2 linked regions of the Lytechinus pictus genome follow. The protein of the gene in region 2 binds, or shares a complex with, the protein of the main gene of each other region. Links are inferred from orthologs where the notes say so. Each region holds a gene or a part of one and is shown on either strand. Other genes may lie near its edges.

The links.
Region 1: meckelin-like (region 2) and transmembrane protein 237-like share a complex: the UniProt entries of both Homo sapiens proteins name them as parts of the tectonic-like complex. The link is inferred for Lytechinus pictus from reciprocal best matches to the Homo sapiens genes TMEM67 and TMEM237.

What each region holds. Positions count from the first base shown.
Region 1 is NC_087245.1:17,041,642-17,049,626, reverse strand, and holds the start of transmembrane protein 237-like, read left to right. Parts: upstream 1-4,967; 5' UTR 4,968-5,020; coding exon 5,021-5,038; intron 5,039-7,985. Other genes in the region: uncharacterized protein LOC129264684, read right to left, coding at 96-167, 485-628, 1,043-1,334, 1,940-2,134. UniProt on the Homo sapiens protein: Component of the transition zone in primary cilia. Required for ciliogenesis.
Region 2 is NC_087246.1:22,606,243-22,613,193, forward strand, and holds the start of meckelin-like, read right to left. Parts: upstream 3,005-6,951; 5' UTR 2,995-3,004; coding exon 2,805-2,994; intron 1-2,804. Other genes in the region: peptide deformylase, mitochondrial-like, read right to left, coding at 6,848-6,951. UniProt on the Homo sapiens protein: Required for ciliary structure and function. Part of the tectonic-like complex which is required for tissue-specific ciliogenesis and may regulate ciliary membrane composition.

The DNA of each region.
Region 1 (7,985 bases), on a different chromosome or scaffold from region 2:
CGATCAACTTTCTTTGCCACCCTCCCCCATTTTAAAATCATGGGTCTATCATAATAAACAATGCTATCACTGTGGTATTATTTCGTTATACTTACCAACAGTTTCAAGGAATTTTTCAGTATTTGTCATCAGCGTCAGAAACTCTTCAAAGTCAATTTCCCCACTTCCTGCAAATAAACAATCAACATAATTTATAAGCATTAATTGGCAATTAACCTTGATAATTGACTAAAACTGTTGGTTTTAGATGGTAATTTGTTTCCAGCTCATAGGCCTAATATTGTGATTTTTTATTTTTTATTTCAAGCATAATTAAATGAATGTTTATCGTGACAATAATCTTCATTTTTCATTATGTTCATGTTTTTGCAAAAAGATAAATAAATAGATAAATGCAATTGGATTGGCTATGAATATTCACAGAATGGCATAAGTCTTTATTGTCTGGCACTGACGTTCTTTCTAAAATGTAAATAAATCTTACCGTCTTTGTCGATCCCTTCCAGAACATCTCGGATATCTTGTGCGGGTAGATGGATATCCACAGAGCTCAAAGCTAGCTGAAGCTCATCTGCATCAATGGTTCCTCCACCATTGCTGTCGAAGAGATCGAACACCTCTTGGAAAGCTGAAGAAAAAAATGAATTAAATCCCATCAAGACGATTGTGAAAAATCATCATTGGTTAATTTTCACTAAAAACCTCCAAACATCTCAATTTAAACATTACCTATAATCTAATCAAATATAATCCCATCTAATCCAATCCAATTATAATATTCTCAACAGACACAGCAGCTCAATGACCATCCCCTCCTGGCTGTGACGATTTCATAGTTGAAATTAGGCAAAAATTGTTAAAATAATTATATTTTATGAAAGAATAAATCCATGAAAGCGATAGAACTTTCATTATAAGTTTTGATTATATTATTACACATTTTTAAAGATTCCAATGTGAGAATGTCATTCCAATTAATATGATTACATTATAAAAGATTTGCCAAATCTCTTTGAAGATATGCTCCCTTTTCAAACAATACCTTCAACCTGCTCTTTGGTGAGTGCAGGTTCGGGTTCAGCTGATTTCTTCTTGCGTCGCTGATGAGGAGAGTATGACATGTCATCCATTCGACTACCGCGCCGGTTATATGCACCATCTCCAGGGTGGCTGCTCCCTCGCCTGCCGGAAGCTGGACCCCTTCCGTAGTCAACAGTACTCTGGCGTCGACCTCCCGAGCCAGTCTCCGGTAGCACGCTACCTCTTCGGAGGTACCCGTCGCCCATGGTGCTGCCTCGCCTTCCACCAGTTGCTACGCTTCCACGACGACTTTGCTGAGGAAAAAGAATATCATGATATAAATCTATTTTCCTATTAATTCATGATATCTATCTGGTTAAAATTAAGATCCAGGATTGACCAGAGAGGCGGGGGGGGGGGGGGGGGGCAGGTCCATAACTTTTTCTTCATTTTCACAAAATAATAATAATAAAAAACATCACTAGGCAATAATTGCCTCCTCTTGGCGCCAGGGTCAGGGAAAGAGCCCCCTCCTCCAAACTTCGAAGGCCTACACACTAGCTTGTATTATCTATTAAAAAAAAAACACCAAATATTCCATTAGTCCTTGAGCGGGGGGGGGGGGGGCATCTGGATCAGCCTCTGTCTCCAGATAGTATATTATGTAATACTCTCAGGGAAGTAAAAACACAATTTTTTTGATATAAGGAAAAACCCATCTATTATTCATTCATCTATTTATTATTCTATCATCATCGTCATCATGATCATCATCTTCTTCTTCTTCACAATCACATTGCCATCAATATTCATTTGGAGAAGCTGTAGACCAAAAGTAATATTAACAGGGTGATATCTGGTGCCTGGCTGGCTTAAAAAAAATGGACACCATGAAATTATTTTTGTTCATTTTACATACCCCACTTGACGGTATGGTACTCTTGCTTCTTCTTTCCTGATCTTCAGATTTAGTTCGAAATCTATCGGAGCTACTCGCTTTTGGTATAGCCCCAATACTCTCCCTGCTGTTCTTGGTACTGTAATTGTTATTCTTCAACGACTCCATGTCACTGCGGTGGACATATATCGCCCCTCTTCTACTTACATCCGACATGATTTTTGTTTATTTTACCTAATTATGAACAAAACAAATATTTACAAAAATTTGGTCTACTGTTACTGAATAGTGCTTTTTTTGCTATTTCCAGAAAGCCGAAACCAGCCGTACGTTTTAGTTGCTCGTCATTTTACATCGAGTCGACTTTTCTGTTCGCTGTCTACGTACCGGTACTCGTGTGCATGTGTCATGTGGATTTGTTTATGTCTGACGTCACCGTGGGAAAGTTTACTCGAGACATCCCGTGACCCGACCTATATTACGTTTTGGTGATGTCATAATGGATAAACCAAAGGATCAACAATAATGACAACCGCGCAAGACGATGGGTTCAGGCTGGGTTCTGGGCGTATTCTGAAAACCGTGTTATCTGCGTGTTATCTCATTTCGTGTTATCTTCGGCTCCTCCCACTCTACATCTATTTAATCCAATCAAATGCGCTGTTAAAGAAACAAATCGCGCAAAATTTTCAGGGAAAAGGGAACGTGCGCACGGTGATACGAAGCCTGCATTGTGACATCATTCTGTAAGCGCATACAGCTACTAGTAAATAAAAGTTAGAGCTAGAAAGAGACGTGGGGAGGGGTACGTGATTGTGACAATTAAGAACTGAATTGAATTTATTTTCATACTTCACAAGATAACAAAATAATAACATAATACAAGAAATTGATTATTTCAGACAGCATGGATACGAAATTATAACAGGAGACAGAGGCCTCGATCGATTGTGGAGCGGGCAGGGGACGATCGCCCTAAGATATGGGGGCAAGCATAATTTATACATGCCCCCAATAATTTTGAGAACTTGAAAAAATAAAAATGCAAATTTTGAAAAGCATGAAAAGCACTTTAAGAAAAATTAAATCTGACATAGAAATATCAAACACAAAATTGTATTTTTTTCTATATTATAATTTGATGCGTAGAGCGATCAGCCATGCAAAAAAAAAACACTTTTGACCGCCCCCTCCCCCCATCCGAAGCATATAGATTGACTGGCGTGATAGATAGATTGAGAATAACCTAGAAGCATTGAGAGTTAAAAAAAATTATTGGAGCTATATAATCATTGAAAAAGGGTTTTTAAAAATGTGAATATTATAGAAGTTTCCCCAATTGCTAATTCCATTCTTTTTAATTTTTGTTTGTGCTTTTCTTTTAGACGTTTGTAATTTTCTTCCTCTTTTTGTCTTTTTTATATCATGGCAAAAAGTAACCAAATAAATAACTCATGATCATATATGATAATGATTTTAATTAGTCCAAATCAAAGATGCATTTAAATTGTATTTTCATAGGAAATTCCAAAGAAATTGTTGTTTAATCATTGTTAGTAGAGACTAAAGGTAAATGGAAAAAAGAAAGAAAATTACAGTAAATCCTGCCAAACGATAGTTATTTGCCCGTTTATGTTCTTCTTGACGTTTGCGTCTGCTAGAAAAAGTGCAGCCATCGTCATCCCCAACTTAACCTCTCCTTAACGCAGTGTTAAATTTTCGTGTTATCTTTGAACAAAATTTTAGCTAACACCATTTTCAGAATACCAAATTTCGTGTTATCTTCCTCCCTAACACCGCGTATGGGGGTTGCGCGTTGCGCACTGCGTATTTCATGACCTGCGCGGTGTTACCACTTGGGCCACGTGTTTTTCATGCTAACACGATTTTCAGAATACCAATCGTGTTAGCTAACACCACACCGTTTTTGTGCTAACACGGTTTTCAGAATACCGCCCCAGTTCACCCCCGCCCGCACCCCACCCCACCCTTCACCTGCGCTGCGCGCTCATAAAACTCACGTGTCGGATGGACACGTGATATAATACAGGCCCCGCCCTTTTCATGATCGTATTACACATTTTGCACGAGACATGGCAGCATGCAGCATGAACAGTCGCATATTGGATGTGTGGGCCTAAAATAAAACAAATTACTAGTATATGACAATTTTTAGTTTATATTTTTTTTTCTTCACAAAACTCTTGGTCAATGCATACGATCCTGTTGGGATCATGTATGCTATGAGAATAACGGAATCGATCGTTCTGTTTTTGTTGTTGTTGTATTTTGTTATAAGCATTGATCAAAATGTTAAAATTTTACAGATTTGATGATTAAAAAAACCCACTCCGAATTATGACTAAACAAGGTCCGTGAGTATTAAAACAAACCATTATTTACATTTTAGAAGGATAATGTAAAAATTCTTTTTCAGGTATTCATGCAAATAATACAAATAATAATAAATATAAAATGAAAATATAGTGAATGTGTGACGAAAGGTTGTGCATTCCCACTTGCATATCGCCATTGATGTGCATTTCATTCTGTTTTCTGCTAATAAGCGAAAACCATGTCGTACTTTCAATTTTACATAAAATTTCAATTAATTTTTGTTTGCATTATTTTTATTTTTCCTTCATTAATTCTTATTGACATTGTTTTATTTCTACCAATGATGGTAACCTGTTGTGTAGGGCAACCGATATTAGATAACTAGGTGAGAGTGAGACTCCCATAGGCGAATTATATAATTTTAGGGTAAAATCTAGTGAGATACTGAGATTGATAGAAATGCATGCAAAATTTAGAGTGAGACTGAAAAGGGACCAAAATGAGTGAGAGTCACTCTCTGAGTGAGAGTTTGCAGCCCTGTGTTTTCATATCATTTATATCATTGAATGTTATTCATTGTAAATGCATGAAATGATTATTTGGGTGTATTTTGTGTTGGAAGTTAAATTGAAACTGAATTTGAATAATAGATAAATTATACCGGTAGGCCTATTCGTAGGTTTGGGTGGCAGTGCAGTAGAAAAAAAAATCCGCACTATTCTCGTGTCGTCCACAAGAGGGCAGCACTGAAAAATTCCTTTCGAAATGGCTGCCGCTGTCTTGGTAAGTTTCCAATAAATTAAAAATGCTTGTATCGAAAATTACTGAATAACTTAGCAAGAATTTGACAAATAACCAATTCGGTATACTTTCAGCTGTAAGCGGGTAAATATTTATTTGCATTTGGTGTTATATTTGTAGATAAAAAGGGCTTCTACAACTTGAGTGACTGAGTGAGTGTGACGGTTGAATTGACGGTTTGTTGAAATTGGGCACCGTCCTTGGAGCTGGTCGCGTCGGGAGTGGCTGGCGCGACCTGGCCGCTGTGGAGACGGCTACTCCGGCTAACTCCAGTGACAGTCCACGCTCCGCGACTCCAGCTCCGAGACCACGATCGGCATTGACCACGTGGTTCATTGATGTAGGCCTACAGTGCAACCGTTACCTGCCACCTCGTCTCATTTTACTTTTGATACATTATTTGGAGTAGATCTACCACCTACATGATGTATTGACCTAATGTAAATGCCTTTTTTGTTTGGACTTTGCCTTGGCTGCCTTTAAAAGGCTTTATTCCTGGAAATTGAGGGTCTAGCTTAAAAAAGTATAGACCGTCGATACGATACTCGATAGTGTCTTTTTTACTAGTGAGTCTATACTTAGTAAAATTTACTCATGTAGGCCTAGGTCTGAACTAGTTGTAACACTAGTACTATCCTACTACTACTACTAGTAACAGGTAACTAACAGTAACATACCTAGTCTATTCTAGATTTTTAGAGTAACGTTAGATCTAAGTCTATTGAAAATGTTTGAGAAATCAAATATTTTGTCTGTTTTTACTTTAATTTTATATTTTTAATTTAGAGTGAAGTTCAGATTTCATGTTTATTTTTAGAGCAGCGGCCAATTCACATCATGAACATTGCCAGGGAGATGTGCCAGCGGGGGCTTAAATTGATGTTAATACCACCTTCTTTCTACGTATAATAAATTTAAAGGCACGGCCATAGCGCTCTCTCGAGAATGTGCACAAAATTTGTATAGGCTCGTTGGTTCGCTTGTCAATGCGTTGATGCCAATATCGTGGCATACGGCTAATGTTAACCCTTTGCGTGCGACGGGCTTCCACAGAAGCCCAGCGAGTCATTCACTTAGCTACGACGGGCTTCTACAGAAGCCGAGAAATGTTTGGTTTAATTCAATTAAGTTTTTCAGCTTTTTCGTAATTGTTATGTACTAAAACCTCTGCCACTATTTCCTTCATAAACCTATTTCGATAACAGATTGAAAAAAATATACAGCTACGTGGGGAAAAATCCCGAAAATAGGAAATCATTTCAACTTTACCCGATTTTTTCGTTGGAGTCGGACGGGGAGGATAAATTTTGTGACGAGCACGTACGCGCGCGCATAAGGCCTGATCACGTGATTTGTTCTGATCACATGATTTGATCCATATCGTTGTTCTGGTAGAGCATCTTGGTTTTCCACGTATTGGCAATAATAATAATAAGACATCAGAAATGCGAAACAAATTCACGAGTAATGCAGTTTTTACAGTGCCAACATTAAGTTCTTTTATTCTGATAGATATACGCTAACATCTTTTCTGCAAGATCGTCACGTAATAAGCTACGCGTTTCTTCACCATTTTCGTCTTATTTGTTTCATCAAGAAGATATCACTCTAGATAGAATGATATCTCCTTGGTTTCATCGATCGATTGCATTTTCAGAAAAGCAAAAAGCTTGTAATGTCTTAGTACTTTGAGCTGATCTCGGTGCACTTTTGAACTTTTTCCCTCCCAATCATCCCTCTTCTTCTCATTATTTTTGTCTACTATTCTGAAAAAAGGAGAAAAGAAGGCAGCTTAGCACACCATTCATCTTCTGCTCTTTTCAAAAGGGGAACGTCCATGTAGTTCATGATATCGGCACTACCCGAACAAAAGAATGTCTGGGCGGCCACTCAAACAAATTCCTTTCGAAAAGAGCAGGATACAAATGGTCAACGCCCCGAACAAAAGGAAGATTAGTGTTTATCGGCAGGATGACCCATTGAACGCTTTTCGTACTTAGCAATACAAAAAGCTTTTATGAATCATTTTTTTCGACCAACATACCGTATCTAAAAAAAAAATGTCTCATTACCGACAACACAGGTGCTTATGACATCCGTCAGTAATTCTTATTGCAAAAAGGCGCTTCCCCTGGGTGATGATGCATATAAGGATGAACGAATAATTATTTAGGGAAATTATCGAAAAAATATGTTCAAATGTCAGGGAGGACGAGAGAGAATGAGAGACAGAGATAAAAGGGGGAACAGACAAGTGCGCTTTTGCTAAAATTCTATGAATATCTACTTAAACGAATTACAACATGACTTTATTTTTTGGTTAGATTACTTTTAAAAAATCCCACAATGTTTGTTTCTTGCAACTCGGTCATCAGACCCTTCCCAAACTTATGACTTTTTATTATTGTTCTTGTTTGACCCCCCTCCCCTGATGGAAATGTTCTGACCTACACTCTAATATTGCTTGTTTGTCTCCTGTCTCCGATTTTCTGTTTTTAATTGCGAGTAACGCGGTAGAAAAGATAAGAATAAAGACCGTCCTGGACCCCTTTCCCCCCCCGTTACGACCAAAAAAAAAAAATCGCATTTGGGGCGCTTACCATGGTTAGCATCTAAACCATTTTGGTTTAGATGGTTTGGAAAAAGAAGGGACAGCAATGTTTTTTATGGTGCAGGTGTTGAGCTGTGGGACGGGGATGAAGCGGCTAAAAAATACAATTTGTTAATTCATGTCATTTTACAGAATGAATTTATAATAGGTTAGGTTTTAGAAGCTCTTCATCTTATTTCCTTTTCTCACCCAGATTAAAACTTTTGCATTAAAAAGTTGACGGAAACATAATTACTTCAAATGATAAAACCAATAATGAACTAAAAGTTTCCTCGCGCGAAATGGAGGAAATAGAATGATACAGGATGATAAATAACG
Region 2 (6,951 bases):
AAACTGACAGTGTAAAAAAATCAAGCATTTGTCCCAACGAAAAGAGAAAATAAGCCAAACATTGCCAACTTTATTTTGCCACACATGGAGATGTAACTGAGAACAAGGTTATATCATAACCTTGTTCATTGAATGAGTGTGTCCCACTGCACTTACAGATATGCAAAGAGGATGTAAAAAAATCTTGCAATCCGTTGGAAAACGCTATGCATCCGCTGTGTACTCATTGCATAGGTGTTTCATATGCTCTATCCATTGAGCATCCGTCCACCCAGATTTCATCCAAGCAAAAAATTTTGAGCTACACAAAACTTTTCGAGCAAATGAACTTTCCGTCGTGTACAATGCGAATCCGCAACATTTACTGGCAGCAAAAGTTCCGTGTCCGTTATCATCCATTTAACGTCGGCTGTATCCTTTCTGCATCCTCTGGGCATCTTCATTTGGATGGATGGATACAATATGATATAGCATTTTGATGCTGATCTCCGATAAAAGTTGACAAAAAAGAAGATAAAGAAACTAGAATTCTATTCTCTAATGCATTACAAGCACCATAACTGTACACACTGTTCTACCTATGAGCCAAAGTTGATCAAAAGGCAAAGCAAAGGCAAGCTCAATTGGCAACCCTGACAAAATAAAAAGCAGTGAATATCAAAACTTTTTGCACTTACATATCGGTATTTAAGTTCAGATTTAAAAAGAAGAAAATAACTGGCCATTACTGTGTAGATTTAACTATGAATTGATGAGTCTACAAATTGATAAAATTAGTTTGAAAAAAAAAGAGTAAAGACTAAATGGCCCAAATATCAGACAGTTCCAAATATTGGATGAAAATTACTTCAACTCCCTCTCTACATGTAGGCTACAACTATGCTGTCTATTCATACGGTGCGTTTGGGTGTGCGAGGTTAGTTAGTATAGATCTAGACCAAAAGCTTCGGTCTCTGTTATGTTGGTTGTTCAGCTGAACTCCGTTGGCTTCACTCACCAAATACAGAGACCGAAGTTCTAGCGCGATCTATACAGGGGACTCAATGGCCATATGTTTATGTGTATTAAGTTCGGATAAAACAGGGCAGTGAAGTTGCGCGACAGCCGAGGTAAGTCACTGTTTTTGTTCCTTTTAACTTGATTTTCCCCGTTTTTGGCAATCAATGCCAAGAGGGAATATTAATTTGCATTTCGGTCGCGTTAATTTTCAAAAAATTGATTCATTAAAGACAAAAATTGAAGAGCCCCGACGGGGGGATTTTGCATTGTAAGTCCCCTAATGGTGGCTGCACGATAGCGAGCCGTCTGTGTATGAGGAGAAATTTAAAAAATAACAAAAATGTTAAAAAACTCCTCGAAACAGACGGCTGCCAGCTGTCTAGTATAGATCTAGCTAACCTCGCAAGAGCGTATTGGGTCACACAACGTATCGTAATTCGTACATAAGGTCCCCCAACTTGTCTGCGCAGTCCCCCTTGTGGTGGAAAAATAATGAATTTCAGGACAGCCTCAAATTTCTCAAAATGCAGCCTTTCTCATAAAAAATCCCTGAATCATGTGCAAAGTGAATGGGTGTGCAGACATGGGGTAGACCCTGCCAATTTTTTTTCAATAATCAATCTGAATGACTGCCAGCTGCCCGAGGTTTTTCCCACTCCTAGTACCAATGAGGTCCAACATTACATGTATGGACCTCATAGGCGACATCAGTAGTATTTTTGGTTAGAAATCTCTGAGAACAGGATATTTATATATTATATCACAAGTACAAGCTATATTCCTTTCTCTTATTTAAATTATAATTTTATAGTGTAAATGCATCGTTAGCAACAACAAAAAATGAAAGAAATGAAGGGGAACTTACATTTTCACGGCTTTTTCCTGATTTTCTGGGCAGCTGCTCTTCTCTTCTGACTCGCGATCGAAGCTGATATGAAGATCACGTGATTCGCGTTCTCGTCAGCTGATCGGTTGGTTATTCTTTTCGTCAGACGTTAATAATATATATTTTATAATGCTAGCATTCATCGCTAATTTAGGTGAAAGAGATTGAAGTTAAACAGCGCCAGGTCGGAATCATAATTATTTTGGAAGAGTGTATTTATACACTCGATCTCATACCTGACGTAGACGGCGCTATTCAACAAATGCACAATCTTCAATATAAAAAATAAAACAGAAAGAACGCCTTGAACACAGGCCAAAATGCCTAACGATTTCTCCGCGGCATTAACAACTATCGTAAAGGGCGCTCCATTTATCAATAAAGATGGATGCTAAGCTGTCTATGGCGACAAAATTTGCCGCAAATATTTACGAAGAATTGTGAGAAATGGTCTGAAAATGCAACAAAAGAACCGGTGAGTACCGATTAAACATTATTAAAGTTGTAAATAGATTATACATACCTTGTAGATTTAGTTTTTAAGGTGATATTAGTGCTTAGTTCTAAGCTAGGGAGGCTCAAACGCGCGTGAGTGGAGTCCCAGTTTATTAGCACGGGTAAGTATTGGGGTGTCGCCTAGAGTGGTTTTTCCAACTCATCCAAATTCCTGGCTATATTTCTTTAATTTTTATGAGATATTTGGTAGGGCCTACACTTACTCATAATAATATAAGGAACATTACTAACTGAAAGACTTTGTGAAATAAAAAGAAATCCATGTTCATAACTTAAATCTTAACTCAAATTAGGTGCGCAGACTTGGCCCAAGTCTTGGGGAATGGGGACCACCATCAGGCATCACACCAGCAATTAATTGAACATGTCGGACTGTCCACAAATGTATAACAAATAGTCTTACCATCAACGGTAGGTTCTTGGTTGTCTCCACAAGGATCACATCTTAATTCTGCTATATTGTAGTATTCTCCATTAGCTATACATTGTTGTACGGTCGTGTAAGGGAATGGATTGGTTGAATTGACCTCCATTACCCAGAAAATGAGAAGAAAATATATCGCAAATCTTTTAATCGGCGACATTTTTGGCATCACGTTTCCAAGGATCCGGCCGGCTAGGCGCGGCGGCGAGACCGCATGACTGGACCGACATACCCCATTATGGAATCGAGGCCGGTCTGGCCCTGGAATCGTGGGGCTGGATTGTGGGGGCTGGATTGTGGGGCTGGATTGTGGGGCTGGAATCGTGGGGCTGGGGGGGGGGGGGGCAAAACATAATTTACTACTAAGCTACGCTTTTTGTTACTTTTCTTCGTGCTTTCTTCCCTCTTTTCCCCTTTTCTCATTTTTTTTCTCCTCACCTTGATATCGACATCATCATTCATTTTCATCATAATCATCATCACTATTCTTCTCTTTTATCCGATCATAATTTAGATCATTTTATTATAATTAGCCTCACCATCATCATCATCAAACATCACTATTCTTCTCTTTTATCAATATCAATATCATAATATAGATTAACGTTTCATTATCATTAGCCTTAATTACCATCATCATTATCATCATCATCACCAACACCATCATTACCATCATCATCATCATATTCATCATCACCCTCACCATCCTTACCACCAGCTTACCGCCATTATCGTCATCATCAATCATCATTATTCTTGTCTTTGATAAATATCATGATACAGGTTAACAATGTTATTTAAAAAAATGTACATTATGATTGTTGAGCTTTACGTAATAATGAATAATTTCATACATTTCATTCAATCAGGGGTAAAATTTGGCAACCAATTAGTATTTTATTTCATAATATTTTTTTTATATAACATTAATTATGAAAAAACTGGTATGCCAGAACAAATGAACAAAAGTTGATGAGGCAAAATCAAGCAATCTTTCTTTGCTGGACAACAGTACATAATGCCATAATGTCATTATCATAAATCACACAATACACTTAAACAAGAGAATAATGGAAATTATATAACAAGAGTCATTATAATTATCAAAATTTTGTGAAGCATTTCCTCTCGTCTGACTTTTTCAATGGGACAATTGTTGCAAATCGGAGTAAAGCCTGATGAAGGCATCATCACCACACAATGTTTTCAAATTCAGTGGTAAAATCTGGCAACAAATTAGTATTTTACTTCATAATCAGTGGCGGACCGTGACCCCAAGGAGACAAATGATTGGAGGGGCACTGTATTCTTTGTGAACAATACTGTGCCCCTCCAATGCTTTGTCTCCTCTGGGTCACAGTCCGCCACTGTTCATAATATTTTTTTTAAGTTACATTAATTATGAAAAAACTGGAATGCCAGAACAAATGAACAAAAGTTGATGAGGCAAAATGAAATGTATTTCAAGCAACCTTTCTTTACTGGACAACAGTACATAATGTCAGTGTCATTATCATAAATCACACAAGACACTGAAATAAAGAGGATAATGGAAATTATATAATAAGGGTCATTATATCTATCAGAATGATGTAAAGTATTTCCTCTCGTCTGACTTTTTCAATGGGACAATTGTTGTTAATTGGAGAAGTGTCTGATCGGAGTAGATCAGGGCATCATTACCACAATGTTTGCAAATCAATCACAAAGACGGTAATGACCATTAATTAGGACCATTGTTGTATATGAATATTTTTCAACATATCCACTATAAACCAAAAAAAATTGTCTTTGAAATTTTCAACCAATAAAAAAAACATAAGGAACATTTTCCTGTGGAAAATTGCAAATGGAAAAGCCTTGAGCATGCCTTTACTTACTACCACTTTACATTTTAAAGGGATGCTCCAGGCTGAAATTTATATGATTCAAACAGGTAAAGAAAAATCAGACAAACAAAACACTGAAAATTTGGTTAAAATCGGACAATGAATAACAAAGTTATGGCAATTTAAAGATTTGCATTATTCCAGTGAAACAGTTCTAGGCATGTCTTCATGAATATTCAATGAGCAAATTGATGATGTCATTATCCCCACTTGTTTTTTTTTTTATTTTATTATATGAAATTAGGTTTTTCAAATTTTTTCTACCAAGAACTTAAAAAATTGGATTGACAACTGATTTAATGAAATTTATTGCTGCAACTTATTTCATTATAAAGGAGACACATTGTTCACACATGTGTGAAAAATGAAACAATTATGATTTCATGTAATAACAAAAGGAAAGTGGGGATGTGACATCATCAGCCCACCTAATGAATATTCATGATGATGTATGTAACTTTTTTTTACAAAATATTGCTAAACTTTAAAATTCAATAACTTTGTTATTTGTTATCCGATTTTGATGAATTTTTCAACATTTTGCTCTGTGAATTTTACTCTATTTATTTCGATATATTTTCAGCCCGGAGTACCCCTTTAAAGGGATGAATTGGATGGTTTAAAAAGGATTGTGTACATGTGCAATTATTCAGAGGGTTATGCAACAAGTCAAATAACTTACTACGGCAGTGCGTATTAAAGACGTACTTGAAAGAAGCATTACAAGATATACAAAGTTTAGCAGAACAACAACATGTTGCTCTGCCCGTGCATACTACACATGTAACTTGCCAAGGCATTTTTAAAAATTAAGATCAATTGAACCAAAGAATGTCAATTTTGTTGATGATTTATTTATCTTTAGATGAAATTACACTTCATTGTTACAGAATAAAATCCTCCATATTCATGATTATGATTGGTTTATACTTAAGGGGAAAATTTGGGGCAAGAAAAATCCATTAGTACTTGAGTTTCAGAGATAATTTGCATAAAACATTATTTGCACTCTTTCATAGTTCACAATTCATGATAATACATTCAGAAATGTTTTTATTCAGTATAGAGAATATCTCACACTAAACATATTTTCTGTAAGAAAAATAAAATAACTAGGTCACTTTATTCTAAAACTACCACAGTTAAATGTAGATAGTAGAAAATCTTCTGAACAGGCGAAGGAGCTTCTTTTTTCCATATCAATTCATATGACTCATGAACTATGTGTATTTCCACCACAAATGCAGAATATGCAAAGTTCAAATGAGGAATTCAATAAGTTATTGGACATGATTATAAAAATAGCCAAATAGCCCATCGAAAGGAGGATGGCAAATGAAGCAAGAATATGTACCGGTACACTGCAACCAACAGTTAGATGTAATGGTAAATTGCCAATTCGTCCACTGCCAACTCATCCACTTACCACATGGTCTGCCTTCATTTAGTCTAATGCCATTCCGTCCATCAACATTTCGTCTAACAACCATTTGGTCCAATAACCATTTGGTCCAATCATCACTTAGTCTAATCACCAGTTCGTCTATTACCATTTCGTCTAATAACCAGTTGGTCTAATACCCATTTTCTTTTCATTCACTTTGCACAATTAACATTTTAGTTTAATAAAGACCAAATGGTATATGGACAAAATGGCTATTGGACCAACTCGTTATTCGACGGAATGGCATTGGACTAAATGAAAGTACACCATGTGGTCAGTGGACGAAATGGTAGACCAAATGGTAGTAGACGAGTTGGCAATTGGAAGAAGTGGCATTCGACAAATTGGAAATAAAGTGATGTAATTGGGTAATTAATGTCAATGCAAGAAAGGAAGTTTGTATCAATTCAAAATACACAATCAATTTAACCAATAAGAGACTGACTGAAATGAAATCTTTGAAATTTTTATAAATCTCAAGCATGCATATATATGTGTGCTCAGTCTCCAACAGCTACGGGTCAATTCTTTGAATCACATTCGGTGAAGGACTCTTGTACTGAACAGGTATGTAAGTTTCGGCAGGCTGGGGGTTTCTTTCAAAAGCAGATACCCGACAATCGACTGGCAGATCGAGCGCAAAAGCTCATATACTACTTCAGAGGTTGACTGACTGATCATTTCTGAATTCACTTCTCATTCCATTTAGGCCATTGTAGATCAGCAAATGTCCGGGTGTCCATGCGATCAATGTATAAAGTTCCCTGAAGATGATCATATTCATGCTGTATGA